Linked DNA regions of Tribolium castaneum. The protein of the gene in region 2 purifies or fractionates together with the protein of the main gene of each other region. This does not show direct contact. Links are inferred from orthologs where the notes say so. Each region holds a gene or a part of one and is shown on either strand. Other genes may lie near its edges.

What was found.
Region 1: the proteins of Lkb1 (region 2) and Cdc37 purify together in Homo sapiens (affinity purification with mass spectrometry; 8 studies listed by BioGRID and IntAct, with this or other methods). This does not show direct contact. The link is inferred for Tribolium castaneum from reciprocal best matches to the Homo sapiens genes STK11 and CDC37.
Region 3: the proteins of Lkb1 (region 2) and CSN8 purify together in Homo sapiens (affinity purification with mass spectrometry; 3 studies listed by BioGRID and IntAct, with this or other methods). This does not show direct contact. The link is inferred for Tribolium castaneum from reciprocal best matches to the Homo sapiens genes STK11 and COPS8.

Annotation. Positions count from the first base shown.
Region 1 is NC_087398.1:2,270,595-2,277,897, forward strand, and holds Cdc37 (hsp90 co-chaperone Cdc37), read left to right. Parts: upstream 1-3,618; 5' UTR 3,619-3,745; coding exon 3,746-3,778; intron 3,779-3,825; coding exon 3,826-4,116; intron 4,117-4,163; coding exon 4,164-4,442; intron 4,443-4,517; coding exon 4,518-5,006; 3' UTR 5,007-5,119; downstream 5,120-7,303. Other genes in the region: queuosine 5'-phosphate N-glycosylase/hydrolase, read left to right, coding at 2,264-2,359, 2,413-3,309; Spase25 (signal peptidase complex subunit 2), read left to right, coding at 5,436-5,471, 5,564-5,629, 5,677-5,810, 5,863-6,021, 6,067-6,253. UniProt on the Homo sapiens protein: Co-chaperone that binds to numerous kinases and promotes their interaction with the Hsp90 complex, resulting in stabilization and promotion of their activity. Inhibits HSP90AA1 ATPase activity.
Region 2 is NC_087395.1:14,144,365-14,152,239, reverse strand, and holds Lkb1 (serine/threonine-protein kinase STK11), read left to right. Parts: upstream 1-3,829; 5' UTR 3,830-4,175; coding exon 4,176-4,591; intron 4,592-4,660; coding exon 4,661-4,967; intron 4,968-6,692; coding exon 6,693-6,829; intron 6,830-6,875; coding exon 6,876-7,061; intron 7,062-7,114; coding exon 7,115-7,281; intron 7,282-7,327; coding exon 7,328-7,458; 3' UTR 7,459-7,726; downstream 7,727-7,875. Other genes in the region: glycogen debranching enzyme, read right to left, coding at 1-62, 109-971, 1,019-1,156, 1,418-2,884, 2,970-3,128. UniProt on the Homo sapiens protein: Tumor suppressor serine/threonine-protein kinase that controls the activity of AMP-activated protein kinase (AMPK) family members, thereby playing a role in various processes such as cell metabolism, cell polarity, apoptosis and DNA damage response.
Region 3 is NC_087398.1:6,311,356-6,317,820, forward strand, and holds CSN8 (COP9 signalosome complex subunit 8), read left to right. Parts: upstream 1-3,454; 5' UTR 3,455-3,581; coding exon 3,582-3,638; intron 3,639-3,705; coding exon 3,706-3,776; intron 3,777-3,825; coding exon 3,826-4,007; intron 4,008-4,059; coding exon 4,060-4,310; 3' UTR 4,311-4,365; downstream 4,366-6,465. Other genes in the region: pcm (5'-3' exoribonuclease 1), read left to right, coding at 1-108, 158-588, 866-1,055, 1,106-1,412, 1,458-1,747, 1,795-1,875, 1,923-2,060, 2,112-2,318 and 3 more; RabGGTa (geranylgeranyl transferase type-2 subunit alpha), read left to right, coding at 4,690-4,692, 4,741-4,976, 5,022-5,227, 5,276-5,605, 5,655-5,818. UniProt on the Homo sapiens protein: Component of the COP9 signalosome complex (CSN), a complex involved in various cellular and developmental processes.

The DNA.
Region 1 (7,303 bases), on a different chromosome or scaffold from region 2:
AAAAATTCTGATTACAGTACGTTAGTGAGTCAATTCCTGGTGTTGAGCACCGACCAAAAAGATAAGTATCTCTTCTTTTGCTAACATAACTTCATCTTTTTGATTGGTGTTTCTTTCTATTTTAAAGGCATTGGTCTCTGGGCTGGGGTGACGGATTTTTGATTTCTACTACTCAAGCGAACTTTAGTCATGGCTGGTTATCGCAAATATTCCTGCAAATACCCCGGATGCACCAGTGGTTATGTTCCCAACAAAGGACATGCCAACAAGCATTTCTTCACTTTCCCTAAGAATCCAAAGCTTCACGAATTGTGGAGGAATGCCTGCAAAATTGAGGATCCTGTAAGTTCAAAATTTTGGCGTTTATGTGAGGATCATTTTGAAAGTCGCGATTTTGTTAATGAGAGGAAGGATAAATTAAATCCACATGTAGTTCCAAAACCATGCGTTATGGCCCCACAAGAGGAGTTTGTTGAGGTTTCCAACTGACTCAAAAAAGTACCGGTGTGCTTTGACAGATGAGTCGCCCCATTTGGCATTTTGGTCAAAATTGTTAACGGAGATGGGCCATTGGAAACTAATAGATTTGAAAAATGGAACTGATTGTACCAATCAGTTTTCATTCGTCAAGGGTTGGCAGACGACAATCAGGTCTATTATTTTTTTATGGAATCACCTCAAAAACATCGATGGGTTTGATTTTTTGAACTTGAGGGGTCTAAACCAAGACCCCTTGGAGAATCTTTTCTGTAGTATTCGCCAGCACGGTGTTGCAAACACGAATCCCACATGCCACCAGTTCACAGCTGCCTTGAAAACCGTAGTTGTTAACAATTTGGTTTCACCAAAAGGCTGTGGTAATTGTGAGGATGACGAGTGCACGCCTTTGGAAAACTTGGGGAGATTATTGAACTTTTCAGGGAATGAGGAAAGAGAGCAGGAATCGCATCCAGAAATTTCAGTGGACTTTTCTACATTACAGCAACCAGACCTTTGCTGTGAAGACAGTCAAGGTTTGGCTTATGTTGCTGGCTATGTATTGAAGGAAATTGAGGTTCCTGATTGCGAAAACTGTCAGAATAAACTATATTCTGAGGAGCCGACAGAGCACCATCTCTTAGTCTCATTCAAGGAATTTGACGATAATCAGCGGCGACTGAAGTATGCTAGTGAACATGTAATGTGGCTTGTTCAAAACATTCATGACTGTTTATACAGTTTCCTTGATACCTATGCTCACCACGCAATGTTGGAAGACAGGTTCAAAGAAATTTATAAATCTCAGTTTGATTTTGGGCCAGCCTATTGCATGACTCACGACTGTGATAATTTAATATTAAATAGGTGTACCACCTTTTTAATATATAAATACACAAGAGACAAGCAGAAAGCAAAATCCGTTACCACCGGTCATATAGAAAAAATGAAAAAATTCCGAAGGCTGTGATTTGTAAATAGACTGTGATTTGTACATAGAAGGCTGTGATTTGTAGATATATATTTAAACAAGAAATGTATTTTTTTTTTAATTTATTTGTACATAGTTCTTTTGGAGGAAATATTTCTGTTTTAATTTATATAGTTTAAAATTGTTTGTTAAGTTTTTTGATGTTTTTTAGAATTCTCTATTTAGGTTATTTCAGAATTTACTTTTAAGTTTCTTATTTGCGCTCGAGTGTGTCAGTGCACTGCATGTACCTCCTCGTGGTCGTAGCGCGGGCAACTGTTTGCTGACAGACAAGGTAAAAGTCATTGCAAAGAAGGCCTTATTTTGTTTTAAGTCTGGAGCAGACAGGCAAAACATGCCAACACTGACTGATTCAATTTTTTGATAATTTTTGTATAATTAAGAAATAATACAATACTTTAATTTTTTGAAAAATTTAATTTGTTATGTTACTCAAGTGTGCAATAAAAATGTTAACAAAATCTGTGTTTTATTACCCCAAAACAACTTTTTTTGTAAGTTTCATTGCAAATTTTGTTTAAAATAAATATAAAATGTTTTCATTTCGTTTAAAATGAAAATATTTTTTTTTATTTTAAACAATTTGCAATAAAACTTGTAAGATAAAAATAATAAAAAACAGAATATAAAAGGAATTTATTCAAACGTGGCGCTTTACCGTGGTAGTAACGCACTTCAGCACCAGAGGCGCTGTATTCTCGTGTTGCCAGTGATTTACTAGGGAATTATCACTTCTTAACCTTTACTGTTCTGTGATTTTACAAGCTCCGCGTTTTCACAACATATCAAGAGAAAATGGCTTTATCACCTCGTGAGTCAGGCAAACTCGTTGCTTCGCTTAGCAAAAACGTGAAAATCAAAGACGAAGGTGTGAAAAAACTGGGGGATTTGGTAAGTCCGTGCGTATCAGGCGAAAAAAGGCACATTTTAACTGTTATCTCCAGTTGGTTAGCGAGATCGAAAGCGGGAAATTGTCCAGTGAGAAGTTCAGTCAAGTGAAACTGCACCCAAAATCCGACGATCCCAAAGCCCTTGACTGGTTATTTGTCGTGGACACTCTGAATTTTTGCTTCTGGCACTTAGAAACCGAAGCTGGCTGGACTGTGGAGGGCTACACTGGTTATTTTGCCCTTTGTGCGGCTATTAATCGAGCCGTGAAGGAAAAAGTGGATATTTTGAACTCGAAATACTACTCTGAAGTGTCCGAAAAAGACCTTGCGAAAATATTCAGAAGCGACAACGATGTCCCAATTCCACTCCTCCAGGAACGCGTCAAATGCTTGCACGAAGTTGGGAACGTCCTTCTTGAAACTTTCGACGGTTCGTTTGAAAATTGCGTGAAAAAGGCTGACAAGAGCGCTGTGGCCCTTCTGGACCTAATCGTCAACAATTTCAAGTGCTTCAAGGACGAAGCGACTTACAAAGACAAGAAAATTGCGATTTACAAGCGGGCGCAGATTTTAATTGGCGACATTTGGGCCTGTTTCAAGAACGAAGGACTTGGGCACTTTAAAGATATCGATGAAATAACAATGTTTGCGGATTATAGAATCCCACAATCTCTCCTATATTTCGGGGTGTTTGAGTACAGCGAAGATTTGAAGAAGAAACTGCAAGACAACAAAATTCTCGAAAACGGGGAAGAGGACGAAGTGGAGATCAGAGCTTGCTCCATCCATGCGGTCGAGCTGCTAAAAGAACATGCCAATAAAAAACTAACTGATACGAAAATCAATGCCATTTTGATCGATCACTTCTTGTGGGACTTCAGACGCGAACATAACAAGGAAATCGTGGAGAAGAAGTTGCCGTTCCACAAAACGTTCTCCATTTATTACTAAATCGAACGACAATATCAAGTTAAAATTGGAGTTGACCGAATCAATGTGCTAATTTATTAGTAATTAATCGAAAATTTCAGGGAGCGGTTGGCCATGAAACTTTGATATGGCATTTTGGTGGTAGTCATGGTTACAATTGTTACAAACCGAACCGTACTTTTTCATTGCCAACTATGCTGTCATGTTTTATTTCATATCAGTAATTTTTAAGATTAATCGTGTCAATGTTTTTAAAGTTAAAGTATTAGATTATGATTGAAAGAATATTCTGGAATTTTATTTGCCCTCGTCTCCCTACCCATGATCCTCTGCCGACGTTTCGCGAAAGCCAGCCAGAGGGCGGAGGAGCAGCAAAGTGACGTTTGTTGTTTATTTCAAAAGTGCAAGTGTTTTATTGTTGTATTTTCTTGGAGGAATCAAAATTCGCATTGGCGTCATGGTCGATTACAGCAAGTGGAAGAATATTGAGGTAGTGAAGTCTGGGAGGAAAAAATGAGGTTAGGTGGTGCTTTGCAGATTTCCGACGATGAGGATGAGACGCATCCAAATATTGACACCCCTTCACTTTTCCGGTGGAGGCACCAGGCCAGAGTTGAGCGCATGGAAGAAATGAAGAAAGAAGCGGAAGAAATCCAGATAAAGAGGGAGGAAAATGCTAAGAAGGTCTCGCAAGCCAAGCAGAAGCTGGCGGAAGCCGAGAAGGCCGGAGATGCGAATTTGAGGGAACTTAAGGACGCTCTGGCCGCGCTGGAGAAGGAAATGGAAGCGATTAAGAAGAAACAGGAAGAACACGAGAAGAAAGAAAAAGTTTGTACGAATGTTAGTTCTTCTAATGTTTATTTAGTGATTTACAGATGGCCCCGTGGAATGTGGACACAATTAGTCAGCCAGGTTTTGCAAAGACTGTTATTAATAAGAAAGCTCCGAGACCGAAGGACGAACAATTAACGGATGAAGAGAAGGAAAGTCGCATGAAAAATTTTGTAAAAGAAAACGAGAAGAATTTGAAGCACTTTGGAATGTTGCGACGTTATGAAGACTCTCGGGCTTTTCTCAGGGACCACCTTGAATTGGTTTGCGAAGACACAGCTAATTACCTCGTCATCTGGTGCATCAATTTAGAAATGGAAGAGGTAAGATTGTGGCAAAAAATGTATATTGGCAACACTGAGTTGTTGGGGTAAATTATGTATTGTTCTTTTAATTAGAAACATGACCTTATGGAGCACGTGGCGCACCAGACCATCTGCATGCAGTACATCCTAGAACTAGCCAAACAATTAGACTACGACCCTCGCGGCTGCGTGGACCCCTTTTTCTCCAAAATCCAAATAGCTGATCCTCTTTACAAAAAATCGTTTGACGATGAATTAGACCAGTTTAAGGAGAGGATCAGACGACGCGCAGCTGAGAAGATTGAAGAGGCCATAAAAGAAGCAGAGGAGGAGGAGAGGAAAGCGAGGATAGGGCCAGGAGGGTTAGATCAGCTTGAAGTCTTGGAAAGTCTTCCCGAGAATTTACGAAAATGTTTCGAGACGCAAGACATCCAAATGTTGCAAGACACAATCAAGGAAATGGATGAAGAAGAGGCCAACTATCACATGAAGAGGTGTGTTGCTGCGGGTCTTTGGATACCTGATGCCAAAAAGAAGGAAGAAGAAGAAGCTGGGCCTTCTGATGAGCAGTCAAAACCCTAAAGTCACTTGCTTTACAATTTTTGTTATTTAGCCTTTATTTCCTAAGAATGCAAATTTATTGTATTAATTTATTAGGAATGCTTGAAGATTAATAAATTTCTTTACTTTATAAACTTGACGTAAACTTTCTTATACCCATCCCAATTCCCGCATTTTCTCTCACTGACTTAAATTAATCATCCACTTGAAAAAAATAATAGCCAAACGAATTTACAGTTTCAGTGGCAGATATAACAATCAACGTTATTTAAAAAAAATATTTGGTAAAACCCGTTCTTTTGAAAAAGCGTAGTTACTTTTGTTCACCGATGTTGGTGTATTTTCGCGTTTCCCATATTTCGTGTTCTGACGCATCACTTGACGTGTCGCAACAACAAGACACGACAACACCACATAAAAAATTGAAAATTTAACCAGTCAGTTAAGATTATGGCCCCAAAAGAAAGCAAAGAAAAGGATGATAAGGTACAGTTTAAATGAATGAACACGTAATTTGCACGCTTGTTATTTAAATACGGAAAAAATTGTAAATTTGGCTTCATAACCTATTGTTGCAGCCTGTTAAAATAAATAAATGGGACGGTTCAGCTGTGAAAAATGCCATAGACGATGCAGTAAAAGAAGTGAGGTCCCGTGACTCCCTGTTCATTGTTATAATAGTATTTTTTAGGTACTTACTAAAAAGTATCATTACGTAGAAAATTTTAAATTGATGGATGGGCGCCTTGTAATTTGTAGTATTGCAGTAGGAGTTGCCATGTTTGCTTTACTGTGGGATTATTTATATCCCTTTCCACTTTCTAAGTAAGAGTCTCAAATAATCCACCCCTCTGTATAAATACTTGCGTTTTTTCAGACCTATATTAATATTTTGTGTGGGCACTTATTTCACAATGATGGGCATTCTAACGTTGTACACCATGTATGTAGAAAAGGGTATTTTCGCTGTATGTATGCAGAAGAAGGACGGTCAGAAAAGCGATAACATATGGGAAGCCAGCTCATATTTAAAAAAGTGGGTCCCAAAGATAAAACCACAGTAATTTATTATTTATTTTAGATACGATGATAAATATAAACTGGTTCTCACGTTTAAAGATGGTAAAACTGGGGCTTTCCGGGAGACAAGCTTAAAGAAAAGTGTTGCAAATTTTGTGGACGTCAACGGTAGTGTAGTGCACGAAATTGTGGAAAATGAGGTTTCAAAGCTGCACAATTCTCTGTTGAATGAACGTAAAGATAAATAGCTCTCGAGATTGTCATGTCAGCAAGGCATTTATTGCATAATTCCACTTGAGTTGTAAATTTCTCTAATACATTACTTTTTTAGTACAATGATTATTTTATTTTTGTTCATAAACGCCTTTCTACGCACAAAACAAAAACTGTTTGCGATTTATCGGAAACGCACAGCCAAAAAATTTTCAACATAACTGTATCGATTTCTATTGAAAAAATAAAAATTATGGAGGTAAAAATCGTGTTTCTGTTCCCATTGAAAAATTCCACAAAAATCTAAACCTTCCTCCCAAGACAATAAAAAAGAGGACATGACTACAGTAGAACCTCGTTTATCCGCGTAGCAGTGCACAAGACAATTTTATAATTATTTAATTTACTACCTAAGAAGTTTAATAAGGTGATACAAAGTATTTGCGTTTAAGGTGAATTACTGCATTTATATAGTTTGTAATGTTGATTTATTTAAAAAGTTTGTGTTAAAATACCTGCAAAAGACGGTCGGTACCCAGGGCCTTGGTGGCCGAGTGGTATAAGCGCCACTTTCGGCGGTGGAGGTCGGGTGTTCGCACCCGGATCACGGCAACAATTTTTCTGAGAAAAAAAGTGTAGAAAAGGTAAGTGAAACAACACGAGAACAAAAATAAGAGATTGAGAGAACATACAAACATATAAACGTATAAACGTAAAGCGGAGCATAAAACTGAGAGAAATAAGAAAATAATGTGGCAAAAATGTAAAAGTACGTAAAGGCGCCAAATTGTAAACGTACTTTTTGTTTTGAGAGAAGAAGAGATGAACGTAAAGGTGAAATATAACTGCAAACTTTAGTTGAATCTTTAGATGACTTATACGTCAGGTATCTTTTGATGGAATCTGGTGAAAAATTAGAGAATTAAACTGAAAAAAGTGAAAAAAATGCTTTCTCGAGCTAATTCGCCGACTTTTGAACTGAAAGTATTTGCGTGTTAGGTGAATTATTGCAGTTATATAGTTTGTAATGTTAATTTATTTAAAAAGTTTGTGTTAAAATATCTGCAAAACAGGGTCAGTACCCA
Region 2 (7,875 bases):
ACTCCACATACTCCCTCATATGTCCCCACAAAAACGGAGAATCTTCCGGCTTCTCCCCATACCTACAACCCCCTTTATTGCGGAGCTAACCCCTAACAAACTACTCACCTCAATTTAACACTATCCCCCCATGCGATCAACTCCCGCCTGATATAAACATTTGAATCTGGGGCTGCGAAATTCCTCAACGGGTCCGAATTCATGACCCAACCGTTATGAGCCATCAAAAACCGCCCATTTTCATTATTCATAATCGCCTCGTGCTCTTTGAGACTCTTGGGAGTCCCATAATCGGTGAAATAGCGAAAAACTAGCGGGTTTTTCAGGGAAATTTCGCGGACTTTGGGGCCGTCGGGTTGCACCCTGAAGTACCTAATCCCGGCAATTACATTCTCAACTGCAACCTTCAAATGCTCGTTAACTTCATCAATCATCGCTTTGTTAAGCGCTTCGAGTTTGTTCTTAAAATCCTCAGCGCACTTTTTAATCCTAGTCTCTTCATCGTAACAATCGAGACGGTAATTATTGTACAACTTCGTGGCTAAATCCATGTCAATGCTTGAGGCAAGTCGTCGAAACTGCGGGTCTTGGATCAGTTTGAGTTCGCCTTCAATTTTTGATTCGATTTGAGTCGGTATTTTATTACGAATTAAATTCAGAAAGTCTGCGGTGTTTTTAGCAACATCACAAATGAACAGTTCGGGGATTTTCAACTGGGATAAAACGTCGTTGTGGAGGTGGTAACGGATGGAGTGCAAGTGTTCCTCTGTTGAGACTTGGGGCGGAATCCCTTTGTCCTCGTACACCCCCTTAGACACGTCCAAGGAAAACTGGTGAAAGGCGGCATCTAGCAGGTAGGCAGGCCGCAAATAGGGGCAGTTTTGACAGTTGTAGGTGGCCTCCGGGTGCTCCTTAAGCCAGGCACTTTCGTTGGCCGTGTGGTTCAAAACAATATCGCAAATTGAAACCACCTTAAAAATCAGTGCTCAAATTTTGGTCCCAAAATGGGCATAAGTACCTTCCATTCCTGGCGCATTTTCTTAATCAAGTCACTGACGTCCTCAAACGTTGTTTCACTGCCGTTTTGTTTAGTGAACAATGGGTTGATCTTCAACTGCTCGCTAAGACTGTACGACGAATTCGAAGCTCCTAATTCCTAAGACAGGGTTTAATTTTGTAAAAAAATGCCCATAACAATAATTATTTATGAGTGAATTATTCTCCAAAAGGTGATGACTTTGATATTAAACGAGCAAAGGGCGGTAAGATTGTTGACCACAAACCACAGTTATCTCATTTTTAATAAATTAGACCAATTATGCAATTATGAAAAACCCGTTAAAAAGTTAAAAAAAATTCAACAACTAAGTAAGCAGTAGAGGGCAGAGAGAATTATTTGGTAAAAGACACAATGTACCTGAATTGGCGTAAAGTGGACCATGTTATAGCCCGATTCTTTGGCAACTTGTAGTTTATTTTCCCACGTGTCAAACGGGCCCAAGCCCTTAGCCAACACAGTCTGACACTGAATACAATCCAGCGGCAATTTTTCGTTTTTCCCGTATTTCAAAACCGGGTCTACGAGGAAAAAACCGGAGCCTTGATGTTCGATCTGGTCGTCGTAGGTGAAAAAGTAGTGAAAACTTCCGGACTTTTCGAGTGTTAATTCAGTCAGAAGGGCCGTGTCGTCGGAATGCTGGCAGCCTTCGTCTTGTTGCCACTTGAGCAAGGCGTAGGAGTGTCGCTTGAAGTCGCCGGTTTGAGGGTAGTTGCAGTAAAGCGACACTTTCCGCCCGAGTAAGGAAGGGCCGAGACGGAACTGAATAATCCAGTTTTTCTGCAGGCGGTAAAGAGTCGAGTCTTGGTGTTCTTTATCGTTTAGGGTCAGAACGCGCACTTGGGTACCGGAAGACATTTTGAAGGGAGAAATTTCTTCAGACAAAAGTTCGGAAGACGCTGTTTCACTAGTGACAGTGTCAACAATGCTTTGTATCAGTTCTACTATTTCTTCACCAGGGGCTGTTTTTGGTTCTTCAATAGGTGCGGTTATTTCTCCAAGACCCCCATTAAACTCCACAAACGAAGAATTTTCGGCTATTTCTCCACCGGGCTTGTGGTCTTGGTCAAGTAAATCGACCAGTCTGCGTTCTTCACCCTGAATTTGAGTCGCTAACTCTTCCTCAACTTGGCGTTTTGAACCACCGTTAATTCCAGAATCAGCTTTACTTTCCTCCTCCCTCCTCAACTGTTCCAAGCTTTCCTCAAAACGCTGAGAAGCGACGCTGGCGTACGATATCTTCGAGTGTACTTTTTTGCTCTCTTTGGCCTCAAGATAAACCTTTTTCCCGGTTTCTTTATTGACGATTTCGATACAATTTTCAGGCTTATCTTCAACTTCAACCTTTTCAATCACAACAAACTCATTCTTGGCCCTTTTGTTGTGCTTGAAATGCTCAATGAGCGTCGATTTGGGCAAATCGTCGATTTTCACTTTCTGATTTTTCCTCTGTTTCTTATCCCTGACGGGGAGAAAGGAAAACCCGAGTGAGTCCTCTGGTGGATCTGACACGACCTCGGGACTCAACTTAGCTGCAGAATTTTCCTCAAATTTTGGCAAACTTTCCGACGAATTGCTTTTGAAAAACGAGAAACCGACTTCGTCGTCGCTACTTTTCGGCTTGCTTTTCTTATTTCGTTTTCTCGGTTTGGGTGACTTCACTTCTTCGTCCAATATCTCCTCTATGACCTCCTCAATCGGGTCTGTGAGTGTTGTGCTGAAGGAGGGCTCCCGTAGTGGACTTTTCTTCGGTTTGGGTTTCGCTTTCTTCTTCGATTTTTCCTTATTTTGGTCTTGGTCGTTTGCTTCGCCTCGACCGCCGGATATCTGGAAAAATTGCAAACTGAAGGCTCGGGGCGTTTGTGGAGAATTAAATGAATTTATAGCAAGGACATTTAAAAATAAAACTCACTTGCTCCAAATACCGTGACAAGCTTAGCAATATTAAAACACACCACAATAACCCGTATCTTATTAAATGAAACGCAATAGCCAGACTTTTGCTCGGGAAAAACAAGATTAAGTGAAGGATTCCCATATAAAGTTTCCAAAGGCAGGAAAACATTTTCATTGTTACACCGAGCGGTTTTCCATGACTGAAACATTGTTTACTAACGTCCAATTATATTAAATGCTACTTGTAATAGATTTTTAAGTCGTATAATCGCAATTGAGGCGAAATTCAATAAAAATAACCAAAGACCATAGGTTACATAAATTCGATTTTATTGGTTAATTACACGATAAGGAAGTAAGCGATGTAAACATTCTGTACCTTACTTCTCCAATTAATTACTCATTAATAATAATAATTACAACACTCGTAAAGTTGTGATTAAAGAACGAGAAAAAAAAACAGCAATTTGGGGTTTAAAACTTGCCAAATTGTAAAAATTGGTGTCTTTTTAACACAAACATTGAATAAAATTGTTGTCACTTACTTTTATGCAGGTTTTTCTCACAAAATTGAGATTTTGAGCGGGAGGAGATATTTATTTGGAACTGTCAAGGTGACATTGAGATGACAGCCACTTGTTGACATGTAGAAAAAAAATATACGAAATTTGCCTTCGAATCAAATTTGTCGAGTAACACCTCTTTTAAATAACTAGTGATTTAATATAATTTTAATTATGAAAAAAAAAAAACAAAAAAGTTAATCTAATCTCAGATTTAATTTTACCAAACTTGAGTAAACAAATACGGTATTTTATCTCCCGTTATCGTTAGAATTACGTTTTTGTTGTATTTTTGCCGGACACGAGCGCATTTTTTGAATAATTTGATAAATTGGGAAAGAATTTAAACTTGGTGACTTTTGGTTGGCGCAGTTGGTGTAAAAATTTGGGCCAAAGCCGGGAAATCACGTGTTTTCGGCGCAAAAAAATCACTCGGGTGTTGGAAAGGATGTGTTAATTGATTTTGTGCGTAAAATTCGTAAAATCGGTGTTTGTGGCCCCGCTCCAGCATTATGTAACAGCGCCGCGACAGCCGCCAAAGTCCCTAGGAACAGCTGTTGGTTGGACAACAAAAATATTGAAAATGACATGAGGTGCGAGTGTCTCAACTGATTGAAAGCGAAGCAAAACTGAGAGAAACCCGCTGTTGGCTGTTAATTATGGACAGGAAAATGTGCAACATAACCAACAGTGACAGTGACGAGCAGGAGCTGAATCCCGAGCCCGGGGAAGTGGAGCTAACCAACCGCGTTTTCGACGTTAACAGCGAGGAGTTCCCGGTGCTGGGGGACCTGGACGAGGACGCGCACACCTGGAGCAACAACCTGTCGGACGACCTCGACGTGGGCAACATCAGCAACTTTTTCCACCGCGTGTCCTCCGAGCAGGTCATCTACCAGGCCAAGAAGCGTCTGAAGATGATCGGGAAGTACGTGATGGGGGACCTGCTGGGCGAGGGCTCGTACGGCAAAGTGAAGGAAATGCTAGACTCGGACACTTTGTGCCGGCGCGCGGTCAAAATTTTGAAACAGCGCAAGCTGAGGAGGATACCTAACGGAGTACAAAACGTGGAAAGGTACTCACCGCTCCCACGAGCCAAGCCACCAAGGCCGCCATTTGCGATTTTAACCTGTAACAATTTCAGAGAAATCAAATTACTTAAGTCGCTCAAACACAAGAACGTTATCAGTCTAGTCGACGTGCTGTTCAACGAGGAGAAGCAGAAGATGTATCTGATCATGGAGTTCTGCGTGGGCAGCCTCCAGGGCATGCTGGAGTCCACGCCTTACAAAAAATTCCCCCTGTACCAGGCCCACGGCTACTTCATCCAGCTGATCGACGGCCTGGAGTACCTGCACAGCAAGAGGGTCGTCCACAAGGACATCAAGCCGGGGAACCTGCTCCTCACGTTGGAGGGAGAGTTGAAAATCTCGGACTTAGGCGTCGCCGAGGTGAGTAAGAACCGAAAAAGGGGAAAAATACCTCTCCAGAAGCGTGCATAAGGTCTCGCAAATCCTCCTGACGGCCTCACTCATGATTAATAAACTATTTTGTCGCAATTAGTTAAAATAGACACACACGTTCAAACACATGGACAGTTAAAATTCTTAGTCGAAAAAAGGCAGCAAGAAATTTTGCTGGGGCGATAACTCGATAACCGATAAGAATAAAATGTTTTACCTTAAAAGTACTATCAGGGTCAGGAGTACTACCAGGAACAAAGTTGCAGCTAGGAACATGATTGAGACTGATTCGACACGAAAATGAAATGACCTGTTCGGTGCAGGGTCAAAGGTTACAGATTTTTGGATAAGGAGGCGTTGTCCTATGAGTACACCAAGCCACACCAAATAAAGTGATTAAATTTTTTCACTTGGAAGTGACCTCACTTCGCTTTATTTATACAGTTTTCATTATTTTACTGCATGTTGAACTCATGATTGATACAAAACGCACTTAGACATTCCGTTGTTAAATGATTTCTTGTATCTGTGTTTATTCATTCAAAATTGATACGAGTGTTAATAATAAACCAAATCTATTTTGGGTCGGAGTTACTCTCACGAAATTGAATTTTTTGTCAATTACCTACGTAACCGACAAATAAGACAACTGGTCCAAATACATAATTTATTTTTATGCAATAAAATGTTTCTATAAATAATTAAACAGGTCACGCCTTTGTTTAAAAATAAATGTCATTCAAATTTCCTTATCGTAAGATAGTTAAAAAGTCGTCCCGAAAAGAACAAAAATAACACAATTATCGTCCTAATGACGAAACCGCTTGAATAAGGTAATCGTAATTTCATTCCGACACGATTTAGTGATTTTTTAGCTAAAAAAGTGCTAAGGCCTAACTGAACCAGTGTGGTTTAATACAAAAGCTTTGATTAACTGTCAATTCAACTGCACTGTAAATAAATGCAGCTTAAAATTGTATAAATCTTGGCTTATTCTTTGTACAATTAAAAAATTAGTTTGATGTCTTCAAAAAAAATAAAGAAAGAAAATTCAAAACATCTTCGGTATGGTACAAAGATTTCACGTTATTGGTGTCGCTTAAAAATTGAAAATAAAAGTTTAGTAGTAATTGGTGCAACTGCAATTTTAAGATTGAAAGTTATTTATTATTATCGTGCTAAATTATGAAACTTTAATCGTTTAAAGACATTGTCAATTAACTAAATGAACATCTATAGTAGCACTGAACTGATTTTTCAATTCAACTTAACTTAATTCTTTCAGTTATTGTATTTTAAAGATTTTTTCATCAATTTGAACTCTAGTTTTTTTTAATATTGTAACTTTGAAACTAGTGAGGACTTTTGGGAGTCTTCTATCACACTTTCCCTAGATAATTTTGTAGAGGATTATATCAAAGTAAAAAAATTACTCAATTTCGAATTAATACTCCGTCGTATTTTTAACTCAATTATTAAATAATTGCATTTCTAGGTGAACACAAGACAAAAGTAACGTAATTTTTGCGTAATAATTAGTTTTTTGACTAAAAAAGTGCCAAAATAACATCGTAATTCGATAATCTTCCGGCCTTTAAAATATTATTTGGCCAATTTTTTTAATCCTGAACGTGTATTATACCCTTAAATTATTATATGAACTAAATCTTCTGATAGATTTCGTCTCAAATTATAATTTTTACCATTTTTCAGACAATCGATTTTTTCGCAATAGACGACACGTGTGTTCAAGGCCAAGGTTCGCCGGCTTTTCAGCCCCCCGAGATCGCCAACGGTTTAGATTCATTCCCTGGCTTCAAAGTGGACGTTTGGAGCAGCGGTGTGTCACTGTAAAACTCCAATTCTCCCACTTCCGAAAATAATTTTCTCTTGTAGATACAATTTCGTAACGGGGGAATACCCTTTCGAAGGTGATAGTATTTATAAATTATTCGAAAATATAGGGAAAGGTGAATTCACAATACCGGATTATATCGAAGATCCCTTGCGGGATTTGTTGCTAGGGATGTTGAGGAAGGATCCCGAGGAGAGGCTCAGTTTGCAACAAATTAGGCAACACATGTAACTTTTGGCGGAGTTTGTTTATTTGAAGTTGGTTTTTTGATACATTTTAGGTGGTTTTCGCGCCGACCGCCCGTCACCGCGCCCCCTGTCCCCATCCCGCCCTTGCGAAACGACGAGTTTCACTGTATGACTGTTTTACCATATCTTTTCGATCATTATTACGACACTTCGGACACGGCAAATAACGTCGAGTATTTCACCGAACGGGAGCTTAACGGTTTGATTGTCTCAGTGTGTTTCTGTGTTTTGAAAATTGCTTTTAGAAGAAATTACGAAACGCGAAGCTGAACAAAATAACGGAAGTGCTCAAACCAACCAAAGTTCCAAGCGTAGATGGAAGAAGCCCATTTCGTGTATCGCAGTTAGAAAAATCCCTGGTTGTAAGCAATCTTGACAAAACTTTTGTATTATTTTTATTTATTGTTATTAACATTTTCCGAAATTACTGATCGCATTAAATCGTTGTTGCATTGTTTACAAATTTATATTGTTATAGATGTTTAAATCTCAAATGTTTTTTATTTTTGTTGATGTCTACAAATAGTGGGTGTTTAATCCGATCAGTAATTCGGTTCGAAACACCAGTGGAACAGCATGAGAGTGCCATATGTAAGTTATTGTGAGAAAAAATTGAAGAAATAAATAATTACGTTAACTGGTAATTTCCCTTGATTAATCAAACGCGCATTAAATTTGTAAATTTATTCATAAACGTATTTACAAATTTCAAATAATTAATGACAACAAATTCTCGCTACTGCTACAGATAAAAACAAAATCGGCTACTGTCGGTATATAATTGAGCTAAAAT
Region 3 (6,465 bases), on a different chromosome or scaffold from region 2:
GCGATTCACGACGACCTTCGCACGAACTTTCAAACTGTTTCGGACGTATTTGCGCCCAATTCGATTTGTTTTTCGCTCACGAATCCTTATTACGGCTCACAGGGCACAGTAATTTATAAATTTTTTGTTGACTTTTGGTTAAATTATTTCTTTAAAGATTGTGGACTGTGCTGAGTCGCTAAAGAACAACCATTTGAAAGTCTCACTGACTGTTACAGCCGAACCGGACCTCAGTAAAGCGCAAAATATCGACGAAAAGTTGAAGAGAAATTACATGAGTCTTGCAAATTCGGCGTGTCAGTTGGCCATGTCGAATTACGTGTTTTCGCGAATTACTGGTTCTTTGTTTGTGCAAACGAGGACCAATGAGGGGTTGTTCAAAACTGTAAATATCGGTTTGGACATGAAATTTAGCAAGAAAAATCAGGAAACGCCAGGTTATACGAGGAAAATCGAAAATGTTTGGTTTTACACCAGTAAGGCTGTGGATTTAGTTAGGGAATACATAAACAATTTCCCAGAAGTTTTTCGCTTTCTTGCCTCTGGTTCCAACGACGATCTTGACGCCGATGCGATTTTTGGCGAAGAGTGAGTATTGCCGAGTTTTACTTAAAAAAAATGTTTTTTCACGACTAATCTTATTGACAGATTTTAGTTTCTCGTGATAATCGATTCCCCACATTATTTTACATTAATTTTCTTCAAAATATTTCGATTTTATCAAATAGTTTTGCTGTCATTGACAAAACAAGCAAATGGAAAAGTTTGCTCTAAAATCGGGGCGACGTTAAAAAAATGTCTTTAATAATTAATAATAGTAATAAAATTATAAACAATAATAATAGAATTATTGTCAATGTTCCAGTGGGGACGAAAAGGTGAAAAGCATTCAGACTTGGTTAAAGTCGTTGCCTGTACACAATATTGAGAGGCGTGTTTGCGGAAGTTCCGTCTTGGAGCCGGAAGTTGTAGCGGAGATCGAAAAAGAAGTCGATCAGTTGAAAGATTCCCCCAAAAATATTGTCATGCAAATTAAACCACATTTGCTGTATAAGGTAATTTCGGACAATTTTTTGATGTAAAAATTCCATCCGCATAATTTTAGCCTGAAATTCAGACGGGCTATTTGGCCCCAGACCCTCTTGCCCGAACTCGAGTATTTGACCGAATTGTCAATGTTCGTGAGGGTTTTACTGTTCCTCTCGGCCTCAAAGGCACCGTCATTGCAATCCATAAGTCACCTAACGTCCTTAAAAACGAAAACGAAATCTATGATATTGTTTTCGATAAACCATTCGCGGGCGGATTGGCTTTGAACTGTTCCGAACAGCGGGGTTATCGTCTGTCGAAAATTTCTTTCATTAATATTAGTTATGGCAGGAGGCAAATGGAGGAGAAAACTGGAGTGCCAGGTATTTCAGGGTGAAACTTTTCCGTCTTTGATTGAAAAATTCAAGGTGCGTTAAGGGCATTAGCTAAGGAAAGACGTAACGTAAACACCAACATTAGTACAAATATGTATGCCAGGCAGCAAAATTCTGCCTTTGCTTCGGTTAATAAAGCACAACCTAGTTTAATGGGGCCACCGTATAAAAACAATCACTTTAACACAAACCAGTATCCAGTGAGGCCACAAATGCCCATACCTGCCTACGATCAACCAAAAATGAAAAATTCGTTCTATTACATGAGCGACTTTACGCAAATGCAGGGGTCCAAGATTAATAAAGAAAACGCAGTCACTTGGGTATGTTTTTTCCTGAGCTTTGCGCCAACTAACCCACTGTCCTGCAGAGAACTACAGAAATGAACAATCAGAACAGGCATATGAGGGGACCCAATAATGTTACGCAAAACACTGTAAATTCTGCCAAGGCAAGTTATTTATTTCAAGTATTAAATATTAATTTTAATGGTTACAGCCAAAAACTGAGGTAAACACTGATTTCTTAAAACGGATTTTAAACATTGATAATAATGTCGAGAAATCGAGTAATCCGAAATTAAATGTGCCGGTTCAAAATTGTTCAACTTCATCAAGTCGAAAGCCGGAAATGGGGGTAAATAACCAATTTTTGCGATTAAAATTCCACTGCTTATGTAATTGTTAGACTGCGGCGAGCGCTACCGCTAATTTATTAAGCTATTATCAGTCAAACGCTTGGGGTTGTCCGAGGTATTTTTACCTCGAACAAAACAACGGATATGCTGCACAAGTTGTTCTACCTAGCGGTAAATCCATATCGGGAAAAACCGCAAAATCTCGGGAAGAAGCGAGTGAAAATGTGGCGCTAGATGCCTTAAACATGCTAAAAAATGTAAGATTTTTACGTAAAAATAATAAAACTAAAAGTATGTTCCTAGAAGAGTTCTAAGCCAGCAAAAACGGGCCTTCCGTCCGAATTTCCCGTGCCCCCAACCAAGTGGGTCCAAGACCGCCAACAACAAAACAAAATGCCATCCCAAGTTTTTGTGAATAAGTCGTACCAGGTACCACTCTAAATCGTCAAAGAAACGCCGAAATCTTTTATTTTAAGTTCAAACAGGGTGGACATAGTCAGCATCAGAGAATGCCGCCCCCGCACCAAACGGACTACAGTAGAAGGGACCCCGAGTCTAATTTTAGTCGAAATCCGCACACGAGTGCGAAAGCACACAATTTCGTGCCGCTTCAAGCGTTAAAAAAGAAGCAAACTCATGGGAATAAGAATCTTAACACTGGGAATAAGAATGTTAATGAAAATTCACCGCGGAAAAAACAAGAAAAAACTGATGTTTCAAGTAACAGCCAAAACGCTGGAATCTCGAAGGTGAAACTTGCAATGGGGATAATTTAAGTTGACTGACTTGTTACAGGCATGTGAGTTGGAGCGAAATGACCGGCGGGATAAATCAGCAAAGCAGAGGAAAACTAGAATTGCAGCTAGATTCAATCAGTAATTTTAAGAACTAATGGACTGAATTAAAATACATTTTGTTCCGTCTTAATTTCCTCCACTTTAGGTTGATTGAACTATTCCTTTTTAAAGAAATATTTATGGACAAAACTTGAACAAAACATGTGGTTTTTGAGTGTATATACGCTTTCATGCTGTAAATATACACATCCTTCTTTGCCTGTGGACTTTCATTACCTTTGTGCTGCTGATACCAAGCAAAAATGTGGTCAAAAATTTAACGAACACATTGATAGATTGCTATTTTAATTAATATATTTGAATTTTAACTTTTTTAATTTTTTGTCCATATAAAGGGCGGTTTACATTGACCGGTTATCATCATGGAATGAAACGACAGTGGGTGGTGTTTGATATTTTATAAATTCATAAAACACAAACTCGGGCTTTATTATTCAAATTAATTCGATGAAAACGTGATTACCTAATTAGGCATTAGATCTTTTGTGAATTTTTTGAAATTAAAAAAAATGGCGACGTTTTTCGCGGGCGTCGGCAGCGTTCGTGCATTTCCGGCGCAGTCGGGTTTTGGTCAGTTGGTTGTTCGCACTCGTAAATAAAAAATGTGTATGATTTTAAAACGAGACATTTGTTAAAACCAAATTATAAAGAACTCCTCACAAAATGGTTTCTAGTAACATTGAAAAATTAGCAGAAGACTTAGAGAAGCAAGAGTTAGAAGTAAGAGTCATCATCGAGAGATATAACCTCAAACTTCCAATTTTTTACAAATTTGGCGTTTTTTCAGGCACAGAACGGTATAGCATCACCTCAAGTTTACGAACAACTCCTAGCTATATATTTATACGAAAACGACTTGTAAGTATCGCCGGTTTTGGTTCGGTATTGCCGCTAAGGCTAGTTGTAGATGCAATGCAAAATATTTATGGAAACGCATCCCGGCTTCGGTGAAGTCGTCCACTCCTGAGCTAAACAACATCTGGGCCGTGGCCCAGCATATGTGGAAGAGGGACTTCCCGGGGATTTACAAGGCTCTGAACGCGGTAACATGGTCCGACGGTGTGGCGAATATTATGAAACAAGTTCAAGGTTTCTTGCTAATTGGATCACTCTAAACACCACTAATGATTGCGTTTTACAGACAGAGTGAGAAATAGATCAGTAGATTTAATAGCACAAGCGTATTCTTCAATAACATTAGACACTGTTTCTGCAATGACGGGCTTGCCCCCAGACATTTGTGCAACGGCTTGTGTGGAGAGGGGCTGGCAAGTGGAAGCCGACACTAGGATGGTTCACCCCGTTAGACCAACCCCACAAACTTCTGGCCAGACAAGTAGTGAAGATCAATTGTATAAACTGACAGATTTTGTATCATTTCTCGAAAATTGAATTGTATTTTTGTTTTTATAAGTTAATTGTAAGCTAATATAAATATTTCAGTAAATTCCTTCTCATTTAATTGACACAATGCAGAACCACTTGGTGTAATGCCAAACAATTTCCTAAAATAACGGGTGACACCTTCAGATATAAAATAATCCACAGGCGTCGCCCTACACGCAGTCAGTTTTCACACGCGACTAAATGGCTCCAGCTTCACCATGGGGGCCTCAATCGAGCGAAACGAAATGAACAAAATTCATAAAAACCGCCAAATAGCCTGTCAATTTGACAACTCGCCTGGGATTTGAGGTTAAAAACGCTTGACGTTTGTGTCATTGGGTGGCCAAAATTTATTTTTTATTTTATTTTCCAATTTAACGCAAAAATGGTAAAGCATTCGGTCGTCCAAAGGCACTGCTAATCGATTCCTTTCCAGCATGGAAGGATCAAAGTTCGCACTAGCGAAGAACAGAAGCTGCAAAAGCAGAAAGAGCAGCAGAAGAAACTGGTAGCTTATCGCATGGGAATGAAGCAGATCTTGTCGACGAGAAATAAGGAGAATTATGATCCGGCGTCGTTGCTTTTAAGTGGCCAGCTCTTGAGTGTGAATCCCGACATTTACACTTTGTGGAATTACCGTAAAGAAGCAACTTTAATGGAACTGAAGGAGAAGTAACTAATTTCAAGTCTTAAATTCTGTTTTTCACAATTTAACAGTCACTCAGATGCGGAGAATGGTGATGAGAAATCGATTGAGTTTTGCGAGAATGAGTTGAGATTGACTGAACAGTGCCTTCTTTCAAATCCCAAGTCTTACGGTTCCTGGCACCACCGCTATTGGATCTTAAACCATCACCCTAAGCCCAACTGGCAACGAGAATTTGATTTGTGCACCAAATACTTATCCATGGACGATAGAAACTGTAGGTAGTTTTACAACCCGTGGAAAGAACAAACTGAGTTTTTTGCAGTTCATTGTTGGGATTTCCGCCGCTTGTTAGTCAATAAAATTGGCATTACTTTAACTGACGAAATCGCGTTTTCAACCGAACGAATTAATATAAATTTCTCAAATTACTCCTCCTGGCATTACCGAAGTACGTTGCAGTTTCTGACAGACGCCGAAAGCGTGGCTAAAGAGCTGACTTTGGTGCAGAATGCCGTATTTACCGATCCAATCGATACAAGTGCTTGGTTTTACTTGAGGTGGGTTTTAAGCAATCCAAATTTGAGGAAAACTCAAAAAGATGAGTTGTTGGAGGCTTTAGAGCAATTGCAAGAACTGGAGCCTGATTGTAAATGTAATTATGAGCTGTTTTGTATTATTTGAGACTCTTAATAATTTCTTAGGGATTGTTATGGCCAAATGTTGGTTATCAGGGAATATAACAGTGCTGGATAAGGAGCATGTTGAAAATAACGTTCATTACTATAAGGAATTAATCAAGCTGGACCCGTTGCGGCGAGGGCATTATGAGGATTGCCTAAAAATCGTCGAGACGAAAATTGATTGAGTTCACTAGTTGTGTGATTTTTTATACTTAAGTCTATACATAATTGTGATTATTGAGCATTAAATAAATTGGTAAAATATAATATCAGAGTTTTCTTTAAATACCTACATGTAACGCAAATACTAATAACTAATTGCTGATAAAATACAAGCACTTACCTTTATGGCATCTTCTGCTATAGTTTGTAGCAAGTGCCATTGCATCATCTTCTTAAAGGGACTTACTGAAGCAAAAAACAATTAAATTTTAGCATTGTTTCATTAAATTGGTTGGAAATATTACAGATTTTTTTAAAGAAAGTATTGCAGACCACTAACCCTTTAATCCGGATTGTTTCCTAATTTTCTTCCTGGAAATCCACTCCACTAACTAACAACACGCACTAGCCAACAAATTTAAAACTTTTAGACCGAAAGATTCTGATTTTATTTATGTTTCTAATGCAGTCCCTCTGCAACAACAGCAAGTAATAAACTGGATAAAATTAGCGGCACAATAATTGTGTAAGAATATAATGGATAAAACGTCACCAAAAAAAATCTCTGTGATAATAATTGTTACAAGGTGATAAACAAAGAGGTTTGTCCGATTCATTCATTGATTTTTGTGACGACTTCGTCGGTAAAAACAGTCTTCAGAGTTGTTGC